Coturnix japonica: one gene and its partners. The main gene of each other region encodes a partner of the protein of the gene in region 3 in a complex. Links are inferred from orthologs where the notes say so. Each region holds a gene or a part of one and is shown on either strand. Other genes may lie near its edges.

The links.
Region 1: the proteins of TGFB3 (region 3) and TGFBR2 are in contact, whole or in part, in a crystal structure (PDB 9B9F), measured with the Homo sapiens proteins. The link is inferred for Coturnix japonica from reciprocal best matches to the Homo sapiens genes TGFB3 and TGFBR2. Residues at the interface, in NP_001316868.1 of Homo sapiens: Arg325, Lys331, Trp332, His334, Tyr390, Tyr391, Val392, Gly393, Arg394; in NP_003233.4 of Homo sapiens: Leu50, Phe53, Asp55, Ser72, Ile73, Thr74, Ser75, Ile76, Glu78, Val100, Asp141, Glu142.
Region 2: the proteins of TGFB3 (region 3) and LRRC32 are in contact, whole or in part, in a cryo-EM structure (PDB 8VSB), measured with the Homo sapiens proteins. The link is inferred for Coturnix japonica from reciprocal best matches to the Homo sapiens genes TGFB3 and LRRC32. Residues at the interface, in NP_001316868.1 of Homo sapiens: Leu24, Ser25, Thr26, Cys27, Thr28, Leu30, Pro347, Pro349, Tyr350, Leu351, Arg352, Thr357, His358, Val361, Leu364, Leu368, Ser375; in NP_001122394.1 of Homo sapiens: Ala110, Ser135, Tyr137, Ser160, Val184, Met186, Asp187, Ile188, Asp190, Phe193, Leu202, Leu204, Arg206, Asn207, Ser208, Thr210, Cys211, Ile212, Ser213, Asp214, Phe215, Ser216, Leu217, Cys227, Asn228, Ser229, Lys254.
Region 4: the proteins of TGFB3 (region 3) and ITGB8 are in contact, whole or in part, in a cryo-EM structure (PDB 8VS6), measured with the Homo sapiens proteins. The link is inferred for Coturnix japonica from reciprocal best matches to the Homo sapiens genes TGFB3 and ITGB8. Residues at the interface, in NP_001316868.1 of Homo sapiens: Gly262, Asp263, Leu264, Arg266, Leu267, Lys268; in NP_002205.1 of Homo sapiens: Ser156, Ala157, Ser158, Asn161, Arg206, Gln210, Cys211, Tyr214, Leu216, Ser247, Gly248, Asn249, Ile250, Asp251, Thr252, Glu254.

What each region holds. Positions count from the first base shown.
Region 1 is NC_029517.1:36,726,176-36,730,751, forward strand, and holds part of TGFBR2 (TGF-beta receptor type-2), read left to right. Parts: intron 1-3,078; coding exon 3,079-3,258; 3' UTR 3,259-4,576. UniProt on the Homo sapiens protein: Transmembrane serine/threonine kinase forming with the TGF-beta type I serine/threonine kinase receptor, TGFBR1, the non-promiscuous receptor for the TGF-beta cytokines TGFB1, TGFB2 and TGFB3.
Region 2 is NC_029516.1:173,276,074-173,282,653, forward strand, and holds the start of LRRC32 (transforming growth factor beta activator LRRC32), read left to right. Parts: upstream 1-3,005; 5' UTR 3,006-3,567; intron 3,568-6,580.
Region 3 is NC_029520.1:34,880,822-34,886,279, reverse strand, and holds the end of TGFB3 (transforming growth factor beta-3 proprotein), read left to right. Parts: intron 1-352; coding exon 353-460; intron 461-1,258; coding exon 1,259-1,430; intron 1,431-1,916; coding exon 1,917-2,070; intron 2,071-2,988; coding exon 2,989-3,147; 3' UTR 3,148-4,153; downstream 4,154-5,458. UniProt on the Homo sapiens protein: Transforming growth factor beta-3 proprotein: Precursor of the Latency-associated peptide (LAP) and Transforming growth factor beta-3 (TGF-beta-3) chains, which constitute the regulatory and active subunit of TGF-beta-3, respectively.
Region 4 is NC_029517.1:27,615,089-27,620,990, reverse strand, and holds part of ITGB8 (integrin beta-8), read right to left. Parts: intron 5,597-5,902; coding exon 5,191-5,596; intron 2,093-5,190; coding exon 1,867-2,092; intron 508-1,866; coding exon 404-507; intron 1-403. UniProt on the Homo sapiens protein: Integrin alpha-V:beta-8 (ITGAV:ITGB8) is a receptor for fibronectin. It recognizes the sequence R-G-D in its ligands.

The DNA of each region.
Region 1 (4,576 bases), on a different chromosome or scaffold from region 3:
AGCCTTAGTTCTATGTCCTGCTCAGCAGGAGGGGTCTCTTTTTGCGCTCATTCCTCTATCACATAGTCACACTGGTGCTGCCCATAGTTCAGACACCACAGTGCTCTGCATCATGCCGGCTCCCAAATCACTGGGATTTCTGCTGCCCACCAGTGTAATTTGAAAGTGACCAAATTAAAACAAAAAATAATAGAAACCTGAGACCCCACAGTCATCCAGACAGCCACAGAATAATTAGGGCCTTAAAGAATACTGCGTGCAGGCTCTGAAAGGTCAAAGAGAGCAGCTTTACACACGGGTTCCATCAGCAGAGAAAACAAAGCTCAGCACTTTTTATCACAGAGAAAAGTAATACTGGCATCCCAGCTGCTGGCAGGTTTAAGAAAATAGGAAGTGAGTCGTCAGCAAGTCTGTTTGTTTTTATTCAGGGCAGTGTAGTGTCAGTCATTGGCATGTTGGGAAGCTCTCTGTCAGCTTTCTCTGTTCTTACACATCATGGTGGCACTTCCTAGGTGATATTCGCAGCCCAACTTCTCAGTTGCTGAATGGAAAAGAGCCAAAAGCATGCATTCCTTAACTTCTGCTCTGAGCGGTTTTATCAGAAGAGATAAAATGAGAACCATATCAGAGAAGTGAGGCTTGGTCATTCCACTTATCAGTGAAATATGTTGAGTGGTCTTTACAGACAAAAGGAAAGCATCACAAACATTTATAAAAGCCAGGCAAACAAGATCAGCTGGTATTTCCATCAGGAGCAGTAACACTCCGTATTTTTTCATTCCAGTTGAAATGTTAAAATTGTAGTCTAACACTTAATTGGGAAAGGTCCTGTGAGTGGCTGTAATCAGTCATTCCTCCAACCAGGAGCAACGTATCTGCTCCCTAATGACTGCAGCAGAGTGCACGCCATTCCTGGACCTGTCATCTGCAATGAGCAGGGTTACTGAGGAGGGATGCTCTCACTGAGGAGGAGAGCTGTGTTTTGAGGGACATCTGAATACCTGATGTTGCCAGTACTGAAAGGCCTTTGACATTTCTATGATCTATAGCTACAGCTGTCTTCTAACTGATCTGTTGAACTGGGAAGGTTACATTCATGCTCAGGAGTACAGAATAGAAAAGACTGCAATTTTATATATATATATATATATATATATATATATTTAATTAAGTATGAACAGGTAAAAGTCATCAGGAGCTGACTGCAGCTATTTGTTTTCCACTAAGGCAAAAAGAAGTCCAAACCAGCAGCAAACGTGGAAATTTAGAAGAGCCCAATTAACAAAGCAGGAAAGAATCCTGAGCCAGGACACTGGGAAGGAAAAAGAAAATTGAAGAAAATGCTTAAGATTAGCAACAATGTGAGAACATTTCTGAGAATATCCCAAAGTCCTGGTCTTAACATGTCAAAAGAAATGAAGTAGTGTAGAGAACTGATTAGGGAAATAGAAGAACAACAGGAAGATCTGTAGTCAGTAGACTTGAGGACAGTACATTTTCTCAAGAACAAAAGGAAATCTAGCTTCGTACCAATCCATCACTGCCTGTCCTGCTTATGCTAATGCAGAGGTGGAAGTTGTCAGCAAATATTTCTGTTCTGCATTTGGGAAGAGTCAGATGACATACATGTAGTAGAAGATGATGAAGGCTCCAATGAAGCAGAAGTCACTGACACTTAGAAGAGGTCATGGGTATCGTTAAGTGGCCCAGAGACTTGTGTGCATTCAGGGCTGAGCTACTCCTGCAGACTCCACATGGCATGACAGTAGGAGCAGCGACGCAGCTGGTTGTGCCTTGGTGAGGGAGCACCAGCAGCTCCTTGCACATGTTAGGCTCAGGGTTCCAGCAGTGCTGGGGGCAGTTGGTGCTACCCACATTGCAAAACACAGGATGTCCTGCCAGCTGGGATGCATTGCCTGTGTTTGTGTGTGACTGGAGTGGGCACAGCTGGCTCCAGCAAGGTTCAGTTAAGAATCTAAGGCAGGAAGTGAATGTCCAATAACATGCTCCCAGGACATTTAGCGAAGGTGGATTTAATTCCCTTTGTCTGAATCCCTTCAGCGCTTTACATTGCGCTACCTACAATTGGGTGACGCATGGGCTTCAGCGGGGCTGTGACAGTTTGCAGCAGCTGAGGATCTGCTTTGAACTCCTCAGAAGCTGCTCTTACTGTAATAGCTCTTCCATATTCATTTCCTTCCTCTGCAGTCGTATTTTTGTAATGAACTCATTATTCATCATGATAAAATTCTGGAATGGATTTACATATTACATTTTTTCCCCCTTAATGAGATTTGTTGCACTATTGATTTCAAGTTAATGTTTAATATTTAATTTAATTTACTGCTTGTAATTTCAATGCCATCAGAAAACTAATGTTATTTGTATACAGACAGTAATGTTCTGCTATTAACATTGACATCAGTCAACATCACAATTAGGTAAATTATACAATTAATGTAGTGTTGTGAAATGTTATTTTTTTAAATAAGAAGTTTAAGATAAATCCCTTTTAATGGGCTCTTAGTGTCATAAAGCAAAACACACCATTTCCTGGCAAATACCTCATGTTTATAAAATGCATTACAAAGATGCAACTGTTTTTTTGCTCCTGTAAACATGTGCATCGGCATTGAAATGAAGGTTAAATAGTTACATCTGTGAGTGACATGTGTTTAAGTGTTTGTGGGACTGCGGCCCATATTTGCACACAGTTTTAGTTTGTCTGTGGAGAATTCATAAAGGCTGATGTCAGGACTGATATTGCTGGCAATCAGGATTCTGTTCAAAAAAAACCAGCACAAATAGGATTCAGCCATGCAAAGGGATGGGTTGAGTGGGAAGTTGTTATCTAGCTATTCTGATTGTATTTATTAGACCAAAAACTACTTTATTCTATTGGTCCAAACAAAAAAGTCTTTTATAGTGAGGAGGGTGAGGCACTGGAACAGGTTGCCCAGGGATGTGGTGGATGCCCCATCCCTGGAGACTTTCAAGGCTGAGCTGGATCAAGCCCTGAGCAACCTGGTCTAGCTGTGCATGTCCCTCACCACTGTGCTCTCTCTGTGTTCTCCACAGGGCATCCAGATGGTGTGTGAGACCCTTATCGAGTGCTGGGACCACGACCCCGAGGCTCGGCTCACAGCACAGTGTGTGGCAGAGCGCTTCAGTGAGTTTAAGCACCACGACAAGCTCTCAGGGAGAAGCTGTTCAGAGGAGAAGATCCCCGAGGATGGCTCTGTGACCACCGCCAAGTAGCATGCACCCAAGAGCTCCAAAATGGAGGGAGGTCGCTCCTAGGCACGTTACCTTGGCAGAGGAAGAAGTCACAATCAGTGCCTTGACTTGCTTCCTGGAGGACTGAGGCTGTCACTACTCCCTTTGAGCTGTGGTTCTGGGCAGGGAGATGTATGCATGGGAGTTATAAGCCAGGGAGTGGGTGTCGTACCCCAGCATAGGCAGCCAGTGTCATGTCATAGGAGGAGCTAAGTCTGTTAGCACTTCCTCAGGAAAAGAGATTTGAGAATAGCCAATAACATTATGCACTTTAATAATGCCTGTATATAACTATGAAATTGCTATTTTTATATATATATATATATATACATATCTATTAAAAATGTCTGTGTATGTATATATCTATCTATATATCTGTAAACAGCCATGCTCTGAAGAAAAGAGTTTAAAAAATGCTTGCAGGAAATTACCTGTGCATTAGAGATCCCTCCCCGTAGGGAAAGCTCCTGGGGAGGCTGGTGTATCAGGACACTAGCAATTGTGCACTAAGCACTCTGCCAAAAAGATGGGAACAGTGAGCAATAAGAAGATGGCTTTGAAGCATGTGCTGTACACAGCCAGCTGTGACCCAGGAGACGACAATTGCAACAGCAGTCTCATGGCAAAGAGACAGATCTGGCTTTGCAGTTGTTAACTATGTGCTCCTGCCTGCAGCGTGTTGCGGAAGATTCGGGGATGTCTTTGCCCTCTTGCCTTAACCCCAAGGTCCTCACAGCCTCCCACAGTGGGAGGGAGCGTGAGTAGGCTTGGTCCCTCCCACCTGTGTTTCTATGCAGAGGTCATTAGCGTTGCGTGTTTATTGCTTTGAGTTCATGCTGCTTGCAAGCAGGTTGCAAAATAGCAGCGGGATGAGATTTTCCCCTCCTCCCTTCCCCTCCCCCAAACCGCACACAACTGGACGCATCCAGCAGTAATCCAAGCAGATGTTTTATATTTGCTCTGCATTCTGAACACAGACTGTACTTATTTTTTCCCCTTCCCTTTTACCTTGATTGCATTGCTGTGAGAACAAATGACTTTTTCCTGGTACAGCATATCTAATTGCTTGACATACCGCAGCCTGACTCTGCTCCACGCTTTCTAGAGAAAAGTGAGAGACAACGCCCAGTGCCTTTGCTTTTGCACAGGGACCTTAGAGGGGAGGGAAGGCTCCATGTCATCAGGTTCATGGCATATCCTGCCCTCTTCTCTGCACTGTAGTGGGAATTTAGTTATCCACATTGTTTAGGAGGACAGTTGACGTATATAAACTCATACAAATGACAGCAGTGCATTTAAT
Region 2 (6,580 bases), on a different chromosome or scaffold from region 3:
GAACAGAAAAAGAGAAGCTCTGTTTCTCAGTGCATTATTTTTTATTTAAAAAAAAAAAAAAAAAGAACAGGCTATAATCAGAGCTGGAGGAAATAGAGCAGAAATATCAAACTTTGTTTAGTCTGGGGAAATATCATTTATAATTAGAGATGGGCATCCTGCTGACATGATACAACCTATTTTAAGCGTGAGGTGAGCACATGGTCAACTGTTAATCTTTTGCAAGTGATTAATTCTGCCAGTTCATCTCTGACTGGCTGGTTTCCATTATTTTCTTTTTAATTTGTAGTCTCTGAAAAGCAACTAGACTAATGCCATCTCAAGATAATGATGCTTATACTGGCAGTGATGCCTTGGAGCATCTCAGTAGCGGGAAGTTTTGGTTTCTGTTTATTCATGGCTATTCGTCTCCATGCCAGCTCCAGCAGCCAAACTTGCTGTTTTCTCCCATGGAAGATTGGGAATCCCATGAGATCTGTAGGGGTTGAGTCTGTGGCAGGAGTTGGCTCGTGGTTGACCTCGTGTGACCATGCACCAACTAGTGGTCCTTTTTTCTGAAGTGATATTTGCTTGTTGATGCATCCTGATGCCTGAGTATGAGGAGGGGCCAGGTCTGTGCAGATGGGGTCAGGGTTCTCTCCCTGGGAAAGACATTATTAGATCAAGAGATATAACCAGAGAAACATCATCCCTCAGGTGTCACCTGGAATCAGCCATAGGTTGACCCATATCTTCTGAGACCCACACAACAGAGCTGGAGGTGCAGCAATAGTAGAGTCTGTGGGAATAATTTCTTCTGTTTCCATATGTGGATTAAATTTATTTTTGGAAGACTTTTTCCCCTTTCAGTGATGGATCACTTTCCTATTCATGCTCCACTTGGAATATACAACAGAATTCACTTCTCTAAGTAGCCAGTCCACATGGCTGCCGTGACATCAAATTGGCCATCAGGTCTTCCTGGCTCAGTGACAGGAGGTGAAACTACATACCCTTGTGCTTTGGTGAACTTTCTCTGTGGGTAATTCCTAGCTGACTAAAATAGCATGGAATTAGAGAAGAGTTTCAGCTTGGATGGCAGGTATTCCTCAAGAAAACAATGTTGAGCTTGTGCCAAACCAAACTGTGTAGCCATTCACTAGGGGTGATGTCACAGGATGGAGCAATAGTGGATAGTTAGTTCAGGCATTGCACAAAATGTCAAGGGCCATGCTGCTTTCAGATCATAAGCTTACTTCTTGATACATGTCACGCTGTCACGCTGGAAAACATTCATTAGACTTAAATAAATACTGTGATGTGAATCATGACTTTGTAGGATACTCTTAAAACATTAAAGTTTCTATAAGGGCACAAGGACATGCCCATCCTTATATTTGCCATGCAGGGTAATGTCAATCAGGGATAATGCTGAGAGAGTTGGGGTTGTTTAGCCTGAAGAAGAGGAGGCTCTTGGAAGACCCAACCTAATACCCAACCTAAACCTCCCTTGTCTCAGTCTAAAAACATTCCCCTCTTGTTCCAGAAGTTGTGGGTCACTGGGGGTTTTTAAAGTTGGGTTGGACAAGGCTACTGCAAGTAATAAAGCCATTGTTTGCTTCTTTTCTATTATATACTCACCATTATTTATCGTCTTTGTTACACACTTAAAACAGCAACGTATGCAAGATGTATTTACTATGCTATTTAACGAACCACATCTCACACATCTGTTGATGCTTTCACCCAGAGCCTCCCACTACATTGCAGATCTGGAAAAACTCTGACTCACAAAGGCTGGTGTGCTACAAGAAACCCATCAGCAACTTGTTGTGGAGGGGCAAAGGCTGCATGCTGGCATGTGTTGAACAGAACCCTCAAAGGTTTTTGGCACATGGGATGAAAGGATATGCCTTTTATCTGTCTTTACCAAGGGACATGGTTTAATGGTATGGTGGGTTGATGGTTGTTCTCAGTGACCTTAACTGTCTTTCCAACCTTAACGATTCTATGATTTACCAAATGGATCCAGACAAGCAGAGCAGAATTTATGCTGTCCAGGAGAAAAGAGTCAGCACTGCATTTTTCTTGTTGTTGTTGTTATTATTATTATTATTATTATTATTTACCAGTGGAAATCAATGCAAATAATGGTCTAAAGGTGGGAAATGTCCAGTGCTGAAGCCAGACTTCTCCTCTATGGGCTTTGCATGGCACGGATGTCCTTAGCACTCACCACTGGCACTTTGGAGTGTCTTCTTCGTGCAGGGGAAGCAAGGTGTCTAACATCTGCCAGCACTTGTGACGTCTTCCAAGAGTGCACAGCACACTGTCTCAGAGGAGAAGGTCTGTGCCATCACAGACACATGTGCAGCACTGCAGCACAATGCCAGCAGTGGCAATGGTGGAGATGGTCCCCATAGGCATAGGGTGTGAGGTTGGCTGTGAGCCTCGGTGCCATTTGGGATTCCACGATGGGGTGTACTAGTCCAAGGGAGATCAGGACACAACTAACAAAGCTAAGACTCAGCTTGCCCCTAAGACATCTAGTCTTATCATCCTAAGGATCCTAGAATCATAGAACATCCAGTCTAGAGCTGGCAAAACCCTCTCAGAACTGGTATTTCTGGAAACTGGTGTGTGAGGCCAGTGGACACCAGCCCAGTGACCAGAGCACTTCTGAGCAGAAGACAACATGAACAATTCTCATCTCTCCAACCCATCCACATGACAACAAGGAAAGAAATCAAACCAATGACCAAGGAAACACTAAGGAAAAAAATGATCAAAGGAAAAGAAAACCAGGTCTGCCTCATCATCCTTTTCAGAAGGTATTTCTGCTATTACCCATTCAAGCATGAAATTGAGTTTATCCTTTCCCCCAGGGGTACATCTCACTGTTGTGTCACAGAGAGAGGCTGGAGGACAAAGTGCTGTGCTCATCCCTCTCCAAAATTACCCTCTCCCCTCACACTCCATCCTGCACAGAGCTGATGGGTTTGCCCTTTTAGGAGTGTACGTGGGTCTATGACCCTTGAACAGTCCCATCTTTATTATGGGTCTATAGGGCTGTCTACCTTCACTTTGTCCCCACAGTTTGCCCCAACCCAGCCTGTATCACCGAGCTCTGCAAAGGGGATTTCTGTGGTGCTCACAGCCTGTTCCGAGCGTCAATACGAGAGAAGCGTAATCACCAGCTGAGAAACTGCAGGAAATAAGCCAAGGTTGAATGAACGAAATGGAAAATAAAGAGAAGCACAAGAGGACACACACATTTTAAAACTATTACGGAGCTATGCGTTCACGTGCTCATGGGAGCCTGGGAATATATAAGAGCTCATGACTGCGAAGGAATGAATTCAAGGACCGGTCTATGGGGAGCGTGGTTGTTTCTTTCTTTTTTTTTCTCTCCCTGTGACTTCAAACTTCTCTCCGAGCTCGCAGAGTTTTAGTCAGCTGGCATGCAACAGAGGTTCGACTTCCCCAAGGAAACTCTTCCCCAGCTCGCGCTGGGACGGCTGCTGGGAGCGGCTGGGAGGCAGAAAACTGCGGGCAGAGGCGAATCCTCCTCCTCCGACCCCACATCAGGTATGTGAAGAAGCGCTGGGAAGTTGAGCTGGGAGCTTTTTTGGCTGCGGGGACGCAGAGCTGCAGCCTTTAGAAATAGCACAGATGGGGAAGGTGCTGTGTAAATAAGATAGCTATGTTTATGCGCTGGTTAAACACTCGATGTAAATGTCTCTATCTGCACAGCTGTATATTCAAGTCATCGGGACTTGAGCTGCAGAGAGTTGCACTCTTTAAGTTAAGGAAGCACTGGTTCATTTGTAGCCATACAGTCATTAACTGTGTTAGCGTCCACAAAAGATGGAGAGATAAGTTTTATCCTTTCTTCACAGCACTTCATTCTATTTATGGTGTTACTGCATTGTAGTGCCCTGAACCAGGAGTGCTGCAGAGACTGGCACTGTGCTCACTGATTAATGCTGCTCTCCCAGCACTCTGACACTGCGTCCTCATACAGCCTTGGGCAAATCACACTGTCCCAGGCTGAAATGAAGTGAAATGCTGCTTAGCTTGCTGCTCTCCTTGCTATCAGTGCTGTCACTGGGCTGTTCCTTTTGGAACACAAGGTATGGGTTAACAGCATTGGTCTATTGCTCCTATCCTCACAGCTTGAATGTCACCTTGGGTGAACAGTGACTTATTGGTAGTTGCTGTTTGTGTTGCATCCAAACTCGTGAGGAATTGATGTTTAGAGGATATTTGGAAATAGCAAAGTTCTACAAAATCCTGGTTCATATAAAAGCCACAGAAAACATTTTAAAGCCAAGCTCTGTTGTATTTTTGATCAAAGTACACATATGTTTCCCTTATACAGAATCCAAAGTTTGGCTTTCCACAAAAAAAAAAATAAAAATAAATAGTAATAATACTAATCTGATTTTTTACCAAGATGTACTTTTTCCAGATTTAAAATAATCCTATTGATTAATTTTGTTTTGGATTTCAACATCAAAAGTTACGATCAGTCTTGTCTTTCTAGAGCAGATCAGTGACTGAATCAGTGCTTGGCCTTTATTAATACAATTATGAATGAATTCACATGAGGGTATCGATGTTGCGCAAGTCAAATGTGCCAGAAATAGTTTTCCTCACTTCATTTTATCTCCTGTTGTATTGAGTATCCCCTGCTGTATCATACAAATTGAATACATCTACTATCAAAAAAACCTGACTCCACTGTCAGAAAAATTACTGAAATAAAAACTGATTTCTCTCTGTGTTTTACTGTGCGTAGGTTAAAGCTGGTCAGAAAGCATTATGGTTTGGTTTGTGGCTTTGAGTTTCTCCAAGAATTTTGTTCTCCACAGAGAGAATTTCATATTCAGATAGTTTCATCTTCCAGTGCCAGCTCATGTATCTTTGGGTAGATAGAACTTATTGCATTTTCACATGCTTTGCCATCCCTTTGCCCAGCCCCTCTCTTTCAATGCCTTTGCCATCCCTTTGCCCAGCCCCTCTCTTTCAATGTCTTGAGGCTGACGTTTTCATGCAATTCTCATCCATTTTATATATATATTTTTCTATTTATATAAAAACGGAGGTGAATGAAATAGGAGAAGTCATTAAATCCTGTGTGTATCTGCTGTCCAAGTGGGCTGGAAAGCTGATGTCTCCCAGATAATCTATGGTGGGGAAATGCTGTTGGCTGCCTGGTCCTAAAGAAAGAGGACCACATGGGAGAGAGAGAAGGAAGGCAATAGGCAGGGGAAAAGCCCGATATAAGTCATGCAGGTGTTGTGGGATCGATTGGTTTGTGGACTTGATGGTAGAGAGACAGGAGTTTGAACCTGTGCATGGTGCTTGTCATCATAGAATGGAATGGCTTGGGTTGTAAGGATCTTCAAGGGTCATCAGGTTCCAAACCATCTGCCACAGGCAGGGTTGCCAACTGCTAGATCAAGAAGTAGATTAGGCTGCCCAAGACCCCATTTTGGTGTTGAACATTACCAGGGATGGAGCATCCTGTTTCTCTGGGAATTCTGTGACAATGCCTCACCATTCTCTCAGTGAAAAAATTCCCCCTGACGTCTAACTGAACTGAAGCAGGAGAGATTCTGTAGGCTCTCAGGAACTGGAGCTGTGCCTCCTTCTGAAAGTCCATGCCTGAGGATAGCCTCAGCTATTTAGTTTTTAATAGGGTTAATATTGCTGTTGCCCCCAGCTCCCTGGGGGGATGAATCACTGGGGAGCTATTCTGGCCAAAGGGAGCAAGATGTGTCCCACTCCTGCCCTTGCAGTTCAGACCCACTTTCTAAGGCAGGAGTTTGTTTTGTTTACTTCTCTGGAGAGTTTGATTCATGCTGCTTGACACAGGACTCAACCCAAAAGCAGTGCCTTAGAAAGCAGCAGCGTTATGGATGGACAGACTCCAAAAGGGCTGAAAGTTCAAGACATATAATCGTCAAGACATATTCTTGTTTATCAGAAACCCTTGGGAACCTGCAGCAAATTGTGGGTAGGCTCGTGAGAGCCAAAGGCTGGGATTTGCTTTTTCTACTGTGAGCTATGCTGGGAAGAGGCTTTGGAGGAGTGATCTCATGAGACACCCATCTCTGTGTTGTGTTGGATCCCTAATTCATAGAATCATACATTGGCTTAGGTTGGAAGTGGTCTCAAAGCCCACCCAGTTCCAATGCCTCCCATGGGCTGATTGCCTCCCACCAGCTCAGGCTGCCCAAGGCCCCATCCAACCTGGCCTTGAGCACCTCTGGGGTAGGGGTATCTACAACACCTTTGGGCAGCCTGTTCATATCTTCCAATCTGTTTGATGCAGGTGACCCAATCCATCTGATGGATTCTGTGCTGAATCATAGAATCACTGAGGTTGGAAAAGACCTCTAAGATCACCAAGTCCAACCCCAACACATCATGAACACTAAACACATCCCTCAGTGCCAAATCAAGCCTTTTCCTGGACACCTCTGGGGACAGCGACTGCACATAAAAGTACATATGGTTAAAAAGCCTTTTAAGTTAAAGACTGCTGGGTAGAAAACAGCAAGTAAATATTGAAAAAATGAAGTCATCCAAAGGC
Region 3 (5,458 bases):
CAGACCAACCTGGCAAAATAGTTACTTTCTAGTGGAACTCCTCAAGGTTCACAAGTGCTTTTGGATGCCAAATAGCCAAAAAATGTAATCAGAAGCACCTTTCTCACCTGCCCAGGAAGGTCCCTTTAGCAAGAGCATGCCTGGTTTTTGGCACAAGTGAAGCCACAAGATTCTGCTTCCCATTCTCCTTTCTAAGTCAGCTCCTGTTTCCCAAAGTGAGCATCCTTCACTGTGAGACTGGTCCCTAGTTTGGGGGTCGCAGCACAGCACGTGCCCCCTGTGGAGATTTGCTGTAGCGGGAGCTGTTCCAGCTGAGGAAGACTGTTTCTCAGAGTCCTGTCCTTTTTTGCAGAGTCCAACCTTGGCCTGGAAATCAGCATACACTGCCCTTGCCATACTTTTCAGCCCAATGGGGACATCTTGGAGAATTTACATGAGGTCTTGGAGATCAAATTCAAAGGTGATGAAGAGCTGGGCTTGGGGAAGCTACTGGAAGGAAAGCCAGGAGTGTGTGAAAAAACAAATAGATCTTCCCTTGCTTATTTGAGGATTTTGCCCCTCATAACATTTGTCTTAAAGCACACACAGTGCTGGGCTTGCATGTTGATCTTACAAGTACACCCACTTCGTACCTAGGTTGGAAGTGAGAGAGAAGTGCAGTCTGGATGGGGTTTGCGTGCATTTCTGCAAAAGGAATAGCTTTGTATTTCAGAGTCTCTCCGGGAAGCTCAGCTTGATGGATTCTCAGCTCTGCTTTCCAGTTAGGGTGACTGAAACACGGGGAAGTCAGGCATCCTGCATGAGGTGGCCTAGAGAGTCAGTGGCTTGGCTGGCCTAAAATGTAGGAACCTCCTGGCTTGCAGCCCTGGGCTGCAGCCACTGGCCCCCACAGGCTCAATTTCTGAGGCTGTTTTGCAGAGTGCCAATGATCTGACATCTTCTTTAGACCATTCATCTTCTTGCTTGTCCTGGGACTGAAGCCAACAGCAAGTGGGATGGATTAATGGCCCCACCAGCAGTTTGCAAATGGTAAAACAGGTGGCCCACAGGCCTCTATTTCAGGCCTGCAGCAGTCAGATGCACCAGGAGTAAAGAGTTCCCTAGGAGGGAAGAAGTCCCAGAGCGAGTACATGAGGTGCCTGAGTCTCTTTTGCCCTGGTTCAGGGCAGGCAGAGAGTGTTAAGTGTACTGAAAAGTCTTGTTGCATCCTTCACTTCCATATTGATGTCCTCTTCATGGATCCTGTTTCTGTCTGAAGGCATTGACAGTGAGGATGACTATGGCCGTGGGGACTTGGGGCGCCTGAAGAAGCAGAAAGACTTGCATAATCCCCACCTCATCTTGATGATGTTACCCCCACATCGCCTGGAGAGCCCAACACTGGGAGGCCAGAGAAAGAAGCGGGCCCTGGATACCAACTACTGCTTCCGGTAAGTGAGAATCCTGCCAGTGGCCGGGTCCCATGCCTGAGGTGGGAAAGTGGTGAGACTTCACATCACTGGGCAAGGCAGTGCCCACCGAGGGGGCTGCAATTCACTGTGGTTCTGCAGGGGCCACGTGAGCAGTGTAGCTCAGCTGGTGCTCCTTGCAGCCTTCAAGAAGGGGATGCTGCCTGGCCCAGCAATCACTTCTGGCCAAGTTTCTGGCTAGCGGGAGGCTTGTGATCAGCCTCGTGCAGTACAGCCTGGGCAGGGACCAGGCCCGTGGCAGAACAGCCTGGCAGCATGTGCATGCAGTGCCAGGCTGCTGGCCTGCCAGCTTCTGCCAGGTTCTGCCATTCCTGTGCACCCAGTGCAGGTGAATACCACATCCCACCGGGCAATACTGGTCCTGGTTCTTCTGCTCTGGAAGCTGCTTTATGCAAGCACATAAAAGATCCCTCTTTAGATTCACTTCATGTCCATTCTGTGTTTCAGGAACCTGGAGGAGAACTGCTGTGTGCGTCCTCTTTACATCGACTTCCGACAGGACCTGGGCTGGAAATGGGTCCATGAGCCTAAAGGCTACTTTGCCAACTTCTGTTCGGGTCCATGTCCGTACCTCCGCAGTGCAGACACCACTCACAGCACGGTACATCCAGCATATTATCCTTGTGGCCCTGTCAGCACCTCCCTCAGTCTGATGGCATTTGGGCTCTTCAAAGTAGCAGGAGCAGTTTAGATCAATACCTGCAAAAAACTACAAGGAAAGTGCAGCAAAGAGTCTAAGTAGTTTAGCAGGGAGAAACGGTCTTCCTATGGAGTCAGTACTGAGTCCATGCTTCCAGGCAAATGTTGAGGAAGAGGATGCTGTCTCTTGTATGAGATGGGGAAACATCAGGACTTAGGGTACCACTGAAGAGCAGCCAGCTCTGGGAAGACACATGTCAGCTCTTTCATGGTGGTTACATGGCTGGAGTGTACAGTTGTCTGTGGGTTGGGGCCAGCTGGGAGAATGAAGCCAACAGGGTCCCACAGGACACTGTCCCGGCTCCTGCATTACAGTGTAATGATGTGGGGGATGGAGTGGAGAAAGAAAGCATTGGACAGTTCAAAGCTGGGAGGGAACTGTGGCTACTCGAAAGGACAGGCATCCATCCAGCACTATCTAGAGATGTTGGTTGAAATAAGCAGCATTGATTTTCTTTGTTCTGGTTTCTGTAATGGAACCAAAGACAACGCAGCCCCAGGCTGGTTACACCCTGCCTTCTTACAAGCAGAAGTGGCACAATCCGCTGTACCAAATTAGAGATTAAGGGAGTGAACTACTTGTACTTCTTCCACCCTTAGGCATCAGCCAGTCTACATTGCTACGATTAAAAAGCAAAAGGCTCTGGATCAGGCCTGGGCAGGAGCAGGCCATGATAAGAATATTAGTCACATCAGGGAAATGCCCCCGATGAGCGCAGTCCACATACCTGGAGACATGTTTGCTTGCAGTACCTTCCTGTTCTCGACCAACTTAAATGGATTCCTGACTTTGTCACCACATTTACATTTGTTTCCACAGGTGCTGGGCTTGTACAACACCCTGAACCCTGAGGCATCTGCTTCACCCTGCTGCGTCCCACAGGACCTGGAGCCACTGACCATCTTGTACTATGTTGGGAGGACACCCAAAGTGGAGCAGCTCTCCAATATGGTGGTGAAATCCTGCAAGTGCAGCTGAAAGGCACCCTGGGCTGCCCAAAGCCTAGAGAGAAACTGTCAGCACCCATTCTGCTCCAAGGCTAGCACAAAAGGAACTGGGGGTCAGAGACTATGCATGCACAGGGCCGAGTGCTAAACCCTGTGGCTTTGGGTCTGGCAGCCCTTGGGAATCTCTTCTGGAACATTTCTCGGTCTTGTTGCTGGTGTTGCGTTCCCTCTGGGAGCTGCTCTGGCAACATAAAGGCCACACTCCAAAATGACTGGACAGTTGATGCAGAAGAGAAGGACAGTGAAGGAACTGCTGTGTATTTGAATTTTGGGGTAGTCGAACTGGGAAGGCAAAGGATTAGAAAGAGCAGTTAAAAGGAGGGATTGGAAATGGGGCAGTGTTCCCCTTCTTGCTGTAGCTCCCTTGGGACCTCTGCCCTCCCCACTGGCCTGAAGAACTATGAAGGCTTTCCCTCCTGCAGGAGAAAATCCTAGAAGTTTCTTTAGAGAAAGAAAATGCACCAAGAAGAGAAGCTGCTCAGAGAAGAGATGCTCAGAGAGACACACAGACTTACGTTCCTCAGAACTGTGATCCAGGAGGCCTGTATCTATAGTTGTGTTTCTGACAGACCTGAAACTTCAGTTGGCAGATCCTGGCTATTGGTTTCCAAATGCAAACTGCAGGGCTCCCATTCAGCCTGCTGAGGGTGGGCAAAGGCAAGCAAAGAGGGTGCTGAGTCCTTTTTTAGGAGGACTGATGTTTCTATTCAGCTCTTTTCCCTTTCTGGAGTTGCTGAAAGATGGTTTGTGGGTCAGGGCAGGAGCGCTATCTGGGGGTACCTGGATTTTGGAGCCATTCACTCATGAATTGATAACACCCTGAGGACCTTTGTCTGTTGTGGTTTGTGATCTCAATGTGGCCCCAGCCTCACCTGCCAAGACTTTAAAAAAAATAATATTAATCTCAAAAACATTGTAAAAAAATAAATATTTTGGGGGGAAGATGGTCTTTTTTTTTTCTCCTCTCCCCACAATGACGCTGTTGAAGGGTTGGATGGTTTTTTGTTTGTAAACTGCTTCTACTGTGGCAATACTTGGTTACTTTAGAATCTTTTCCTGAGTATCTCTTCAAGGAAACGGGCAGAATTTAGGTCAGCCAGAGAGCTCAGAATGGAAATTCCTTTGTACCTTCAAACAGCGTCTGCTGTGGGTGTGCCCTTCTCACGTCCCTCCGACAGACGCGTCACCTCTGGCGTCTGATTTTGATAGGTTTATATAAAGCTCCCCTCAATCACAACGTATTTCCAAGAGTGCTGTTGAAATAATCAGGGCGCTGCAGTTGTCACAGCTGACAAAAATCATACATTCACTGGAATATCTAAGTTCTGCCAGTACAGACTCGTACACAAAGGCCAGCCCCCTCACATTTACCATGAACGCTTCATACACATAAAATGCTCACAGATGTGGCCCTGGCAAGTAACCAACACACTGTTTTGTAAAGTGTGCTTTTTTCGGCCGCAGATACTCTGAAAATTACAAACTTTGAGTACTTGCTTGCATGTCAGATGAGACCCAGAGGCTGCCTCTCCTGCAACCACAACTACTTAATGTTCTAAAGACCACAAAGAAATTTGTCTCTGTCCCTTCCCACTTCCTGGTCCCCAGCAGCTGAATGTCACGACATGGAACAACTTAATTGCTTGTGGCCAGGGCTCTGCGTGGTCAGCTTGGAATGCAGCTCCTGCTCCTGCACTTCAGTAGCTGCTTCCACACACCTTGCTGCAATGCTGCCGTAACATGTAATCACAAGCTGCACACCCATAAACTACTCTGCTCCATCAGCAGCTGGCAGGATCAGCAAGGGTGGGTCGGCAGAGGGAGCCTGCCAGGCTGCATGACATTTTGGCTGGGGCACACGTGCTCTGAGAGGCACTCCCTGATGCTCAGCTTTATCCCTTTCATCTCCCCAGGGCTCCTTGACCTGTCTTCTTGGTGTAGGGATGAAAAGCAGCGCTCTGATCAGCCCCGCAGCACTAATTTATTGCTGTGCGGCTATCCACGCACACACCTGCCGAGGGAGGGAGCAGGTAAATGCATTGCAACTTCACTGCTATGCTGATAGACAGTCCAGGAATTTAGTGGCTGCCCTGGAGAGGGGGAAAGAGAGGGAAATCCAGATGCCAGTTGGCACAGGAATTCTCTCTTAATCTCCTTTTAGCAGCAGCAGCCCCTGGGGAGGTTTTGGTTTAAAAGCTACAGTCTGTTCTTTGGTCACTGTTCCTCGTGAGCCCTGTGCTGGCTCTGCTGCCTTTCCAGCTGAAGAGCTTTCTTGCTACTAA
Region 4 (5,902 bases), on a different chromosome or scaffold from region 3:
TATTTAAACATTACTGATGGTGAAGTAAGCATTCTATCTCATCCTTCTTCACTTCTGGTAATGTCAAATAATGTAAACATATCCAATGTAATAAAACATGCAAATGTCATAATGGACTTTTACAAATATTTCTTCAAGCATGGCTCAGGCAGGATTCATTATTATTAGATGTGATTTCTCAAGGAAATGGGAAATCTATTTAGCAATGCTTGCCAATTACATTTCCTGTCACTATTTATCTTTTACTTTCCCTGAAGCTAGGAGTAATTTCTTTTTTCCCGCTTTCCTTCTTTCTTATTGTAATAATACTGACATACTTCTGAAAGGTAACAGTGATGTTTTCTAACATTAATCTGGACAGATTTTCAACTCTCACCAAAATTATCTAGAAAATACTACATACCTGAAGTTTGGTCAACATAATGCAATAAGTAAGCACATGAGGTTTTACACTGGTCAAGTTTAGCTTGAGATGCATTGTTAGAATGATGGCACTGAACACAATTCCTGTAAGAAAAATGTAATTAAATCATTCTGTTTTTCTCTGCTCTCTCCTTACAGAGATTCTATCAACAAGCTGACGTATTGTTTTCCTGTTGTTAGTAAAAACATTGCGACATTTATTTATTTTTTCTGAAATGAGATGCCTTCCTCAGCATTTTATCCCTGTGACACTTCTCAAGGCTGACCACTCAGAATTAGTAAGTAGAACATCTGTTTGGTTTCAAGCCCCCTTCATCCGGCCCCTGTTTTGCATTCTCAGATGTGTTCCTCAGGGGTCTTGCACCATCTCTTCCACTGTCAGCCTCCTGTTCATTCTTAGTCTTCCTTGTCTATCACTGGAAAATATGCTGTGATAGTCAAGAACTTTTTTGATGCTTTGTTAGGAAAAAACATATAAGTTCTCAGTGCTGGGTAGCTTATACAGATCATCAGCAAGGTGGGAGACAGCATGGCAGCCTCACTAATTTCACTTTATAGCTTTGCAAGAGGATGGACATCTCAGGCGATACCAGAAAAGCCTTGATTCTTTTTCAAATGAATGTATGCCATTTTCTGAATGTATTAGAGGCACACATTTCACAGTGATACTGAATTAGTCTAATGAATTAGTCTAAGCCAGCAAGGCTAACTTCATTTTATCCGGCGAATCTATTAGCAGTCACCTTTCCAGATACAGTCCAATTTGTCTCCCCTGTGCATTTACCACATGAACTATATTTCAAATGAGTACAAATAATCAACATTTCTGTTTCTACTGCATTTCCCTCCCCAACTAAAGGCTGTTCTGTCACCATGCTGTAGAAATTGGGATGTGAGACGATATTTGTGTTATTTTTCAGGAGGGCCAGAGAAACCACGGACAAGGTTTCACTCACTCTACCTTAAAAAACACAGTGACAGTGCATGGGTACTGCTCTTGTTCACTCCTCCTCCCTTCAGACTGTAGGCACAAGGAGAGCGTGGAGAGAAATTCAGGAAATATTACTGGACTTAGTGGCACTTAAGAGCAGGATCTAGTGTCCATTTCTAAAATCCCAAAATTATAGACTCTGTTCTCAACTCAGAACATTTTATATGAAGAACTGTCCCTTAGTATATATGAAAAAAGCCATACTCATACCACATATCACCTATGACTTCCCAAAGCAGAAATACTGATGAGCACAGATGTGGACATTCAGCTGTTTTGTGAGCAGGAAAACCCTACTACATAGAAAAAATCCTTGGGTAGGAAATGTTTCAAGTTTCCTATAATCTAAACATCTAAGGAAAATAGCACATAGTATACATAGCCAAGAAGAAATATTTCTCCTTGCTTCAACACTACAGAGTTAAACATGAAGTGTGGCACAAGTAACCTACCAGTTTTCTTCACAGGCTTTGTTACAAGCAGGGCAGAATTCACACAAACGGCCAAAGCTTCTTGGGTCAGTGCACTCACATTTTCCACATACACAGTTTCCTCTTCCACTGCAAATCTGGCCCTTGGAATTCAGGCACTGCTTTGCTGATTGTAATGAACACTCGCAACGGTCACCTTCCCAATCAGCAAAGCATTTACATTTACCAGCTTCACATTCACCATTACCTAAAACATCAGATAACCTTGAGTCAAATGCTTTTATGAAAACACAGAAAGTCAATTTTTATATACATATGTTTGTATTGCAGGTGCCTTATATCAAACAGCTAATGTAGTCCTTGGCCTGCTGATAAGCTTTTAAAGTTAACAATTAGGCTGAAATTATCACCATGATACACATTTATGGCTGCTGTTTGCTGCTAATTTGAGCAAAAGCTGCTACCTTGATTGTGTCCTAAAATGTTTTACCACAGTTTTCCTTGTTGTCATGGATCAAAGCAGAAGAGTTTAAAAATTACACAACTTTCAGGAAAACAGCCTTCAAGCAAACTAAACAAACTACTCTGTAGCAATTAAGCATTTAGCTCAAATAAATTGCAAAATTCTGAGAGGAAGGAGTATCAAGTTCATATGTTCAAGCCAGTTCTTTTCATTTTCTTTTCAGAAGCATGCATTACAACATTTTTCAGCCTTTTAAAGGGACAGATAACTGAATGCAGTATGAAAATTAAATTGCACAGCCTCAAGGGCTCAAAGGCTATGGAGAACCTCTGGTGGCAAATCAGTGGATGCTTTAGGGCAAAATCCAGACATTTTTCACATTGCAGTATATTAAGACAGGTGTACAATTGATGTGCCGGTAATGTTTAGCCATAGTTTTACAACGTAAGAAAACACCTTTAGGAAATATAAAAACAGAGAGTCCAATGCAGCTGTTGCTTGCAGCTATAGCAAATCTTATGAGACTTCCTCAGCCATGCCCTCAGCAGTACATAGACTTTGCATGTACTGCAGTGGCCCTTCTTGTGCTTCAAGGACCTGCAGAGCAGATGCAGAAAGACAGTCCCATCTAACTACATGGAATTGCCTAAGGGTTGAGGGCGGGGGGCAGTGTGAGTAAAGTATAGGCTGCCTCTTGTTCTGCCTGGGCTCTGTGCTGTAAAATATCCCACTAAGGGGCAGATACAGAGACATGGTCCCATGTTGCTTGGGCAGGAGACTCCATCAAAGTAAGAATCTCCAACATGTCTTAGACAAAGATCTCCCTGTTTCCTCTTCCACTGCATCACAGGCTTTGGGACCTTGCAAATTTGAAAGTTCTGCTTAGGATAAGAAAAACTAAATACCCAGACTTTGCTGTGGTCAGAGGAGAAGACTGAGAACATGAACAACAAGTTTTTGTGTTGGAATGAATCATAAAATCATAGGATTGTTTGAGCTGCAAGTGACTCTTGAAGGTCATCTAGTCCCGTCTTCTGCAATGAACAAGAATATCTAGAGCTTTACCAGGTTACCCAGAGATCCCTCCAGTCTGACCTTGAATATGTCCAGGGACAGGTCTTCCACCATCTCTCTGGGAAACCTGTTCTGATGCCTCACCACTCCTGTAGTAACTTTTTTTTTTTTTGGCATATATCCAGTTTAAATCTCTCTTTCAGTTGAAACCATTTCTCCTTGTCTTGTCACAAGAGATCCTGATAAAAGTCCGTCCCCTTCTTTCTTATATCCCCCTTAGATACAGAAAGGCCACTATCAGGTCACCTCAGAGCCTTCTCTTCCCCATGTTGAACAGTCCTAGCTCTCTCATATGTCCTCACAGGAGAAGTGTTCCATGCTGTGGATCATTTTTGTGGCCCTCTTCTGGAAGCGCTCCAGCAGGTTCATGTCTCTCCTATACTGAGAGATGTATCTATCCATATCTGGATACAGTACTCCAGGTGAGGTCTCACTAGCTCAGAGCAGAGAGGCAGGATCACCTCCCTTGACCTGGTGAACACGTTTCCCTTGGTGCAGCCCAGGACACAGTTGGCTTTCTGGGCTACAAGGGCAAATTGCTGGCTTGTATCCTGCTTCCATCCACCAGTGTCCCTAAATCCTTTTTACCAGGGCTGTGCTCTATCCTTCCATCCAGCTTGCATTGATACTGGGGGTTGATGAGATCCAGATACAAGACTTGGCTTTGTCAAACTTCATGAGGTTCACCTAGGCCCACTGCTCAAGCATGTCTAGGTCTCTCTGGATGGTATCTTATTTCTTGGTCATGTTGACTACACCACACAGCTTGGTGTCATCTGCAAACTTGTTGAGGATGTACTTGATTGCACTGTCAGTATCACTGATGAAGATATTAAAGAGCATCTGTACTAGCACTGACACCTGAGGTCCACAACTCATTCCTGATTTCCATTTAGACATTGAACCATTGACCACCATTCGCTGGGGAGTAAATGGGAATTCTTTTTCCATTGAACAGCCAACCTGTCAGATCCATATATTTTCAATTTGGAGAGAAGGTTGTTGTAGGGGACTGTGTCAAAAGCCTTACTGAACAAAAGTTCAGACAGTTGACTTTAGTGACTTTTCCTTGTTCACTGATGCTGTTACACCACCATAGAAGGCCAATATGTTGGTCAAGCAGGACTTGGTGAAGCCATGTTACTTGTTCTATATCACCTCCCTGCTCTCCATGTGTTGCAGCATAGCTTCCAGGTGGATCCACTCCATGGTCTTCCCCAGCACAGAGATGAGGCTGACAAGTTGGTAATTCCCTGGATTGTCCTTTCTAACCTTCTTGAAAATGGGTGTGACGTTGCTTTTTTCCAGGCACAAGGGACTTCACCTGACTGCTGTGACTTTTCAAACATCATTGAGAGTAGCTTGGCAACACATCAGCCAATGCCTCACTCAGTACAGAGTGAAATGAGAGGATGCAGAACAGCAGTACAGGTTTTAAAGTACTTGAAATATAACTTCTGAGGGTAAAAAATATATTCCAGTAGAGATAATGATTCTGATTAAAATCTATTTTCCTTAATATCATTAATTTAAAGGTACTTTAAGTGTTTGCATATGTATCAGTATTAGAAACCAGATATCACTGTATCTATGACAAGACTGATTCAGGGTGTTAGAAAATCAGAACTACATGTAGATGTTATGGCTCCTTCTATTCTCTCAGCATCTCACATATATCTCCTAATTCTGCACACATAATTCTTGTACTTGACAGCTTTACATCATTTCTTTCAGATGCATAATGTACATAAGTTTCAGAAAAGAAAACACAAGAAAAGTAAAGCACAGACCTAAATTCTGCAGCTTACCAGAGCATAAGTTTCCCTGGTGATATGGGCAAGAAAAATCATCCATTTGACAGTATTTGCCATATACCCTGCCTAGCTTGTTCTTGTAGCAGAAACATTTTCCCTCTATGCAATCTCCTTGGCCACTGCAGATGGGCTGGTCCTGGTGCTGCCTGCACTCCTCAGAAGGAAACGTCTCTCTGCTGTAGCTGCAACTGCTGTCACTGCAATGGGGCTGTTTGCCATCAGGAAAGGTTTCATCAGTCCATACTCTCTTGGGCTTTGTGTTGTTTCCATTCTGACAGGCACAGCTTTTCTGTACATTAATAGTAGTGGTTTCATTGAAACCAATAGGCTTAAGTATTGCATAACTTCTTCCCCCTGATGTATCACATCCTTTCACTGTGACTGACACATTGAAAAGTACCTAGGAAAAATAAAAACATATTTTACATTTATCCTTTTTTTCCCTACAAATTACTTACAATTTTTAATGCACAAAGAAGAATCTCACATTACGTATGAACGTGCAGTAGCTGGTAATAGTATTTAGTGGCCACTTGTGAAATATACTAGCAAACATAAGCATCGCAAACATGATTAAACCCTAACAACATGAGGTTGGCAGGAGTCTGCTTTTCATGTTAAGAAAGCATAGCTGCAGAAAACAGGTTTAATACTTGATAAATGCTCATAGAATTACCATTTTCCACCTCCTTTTTTTTTTTTTTTT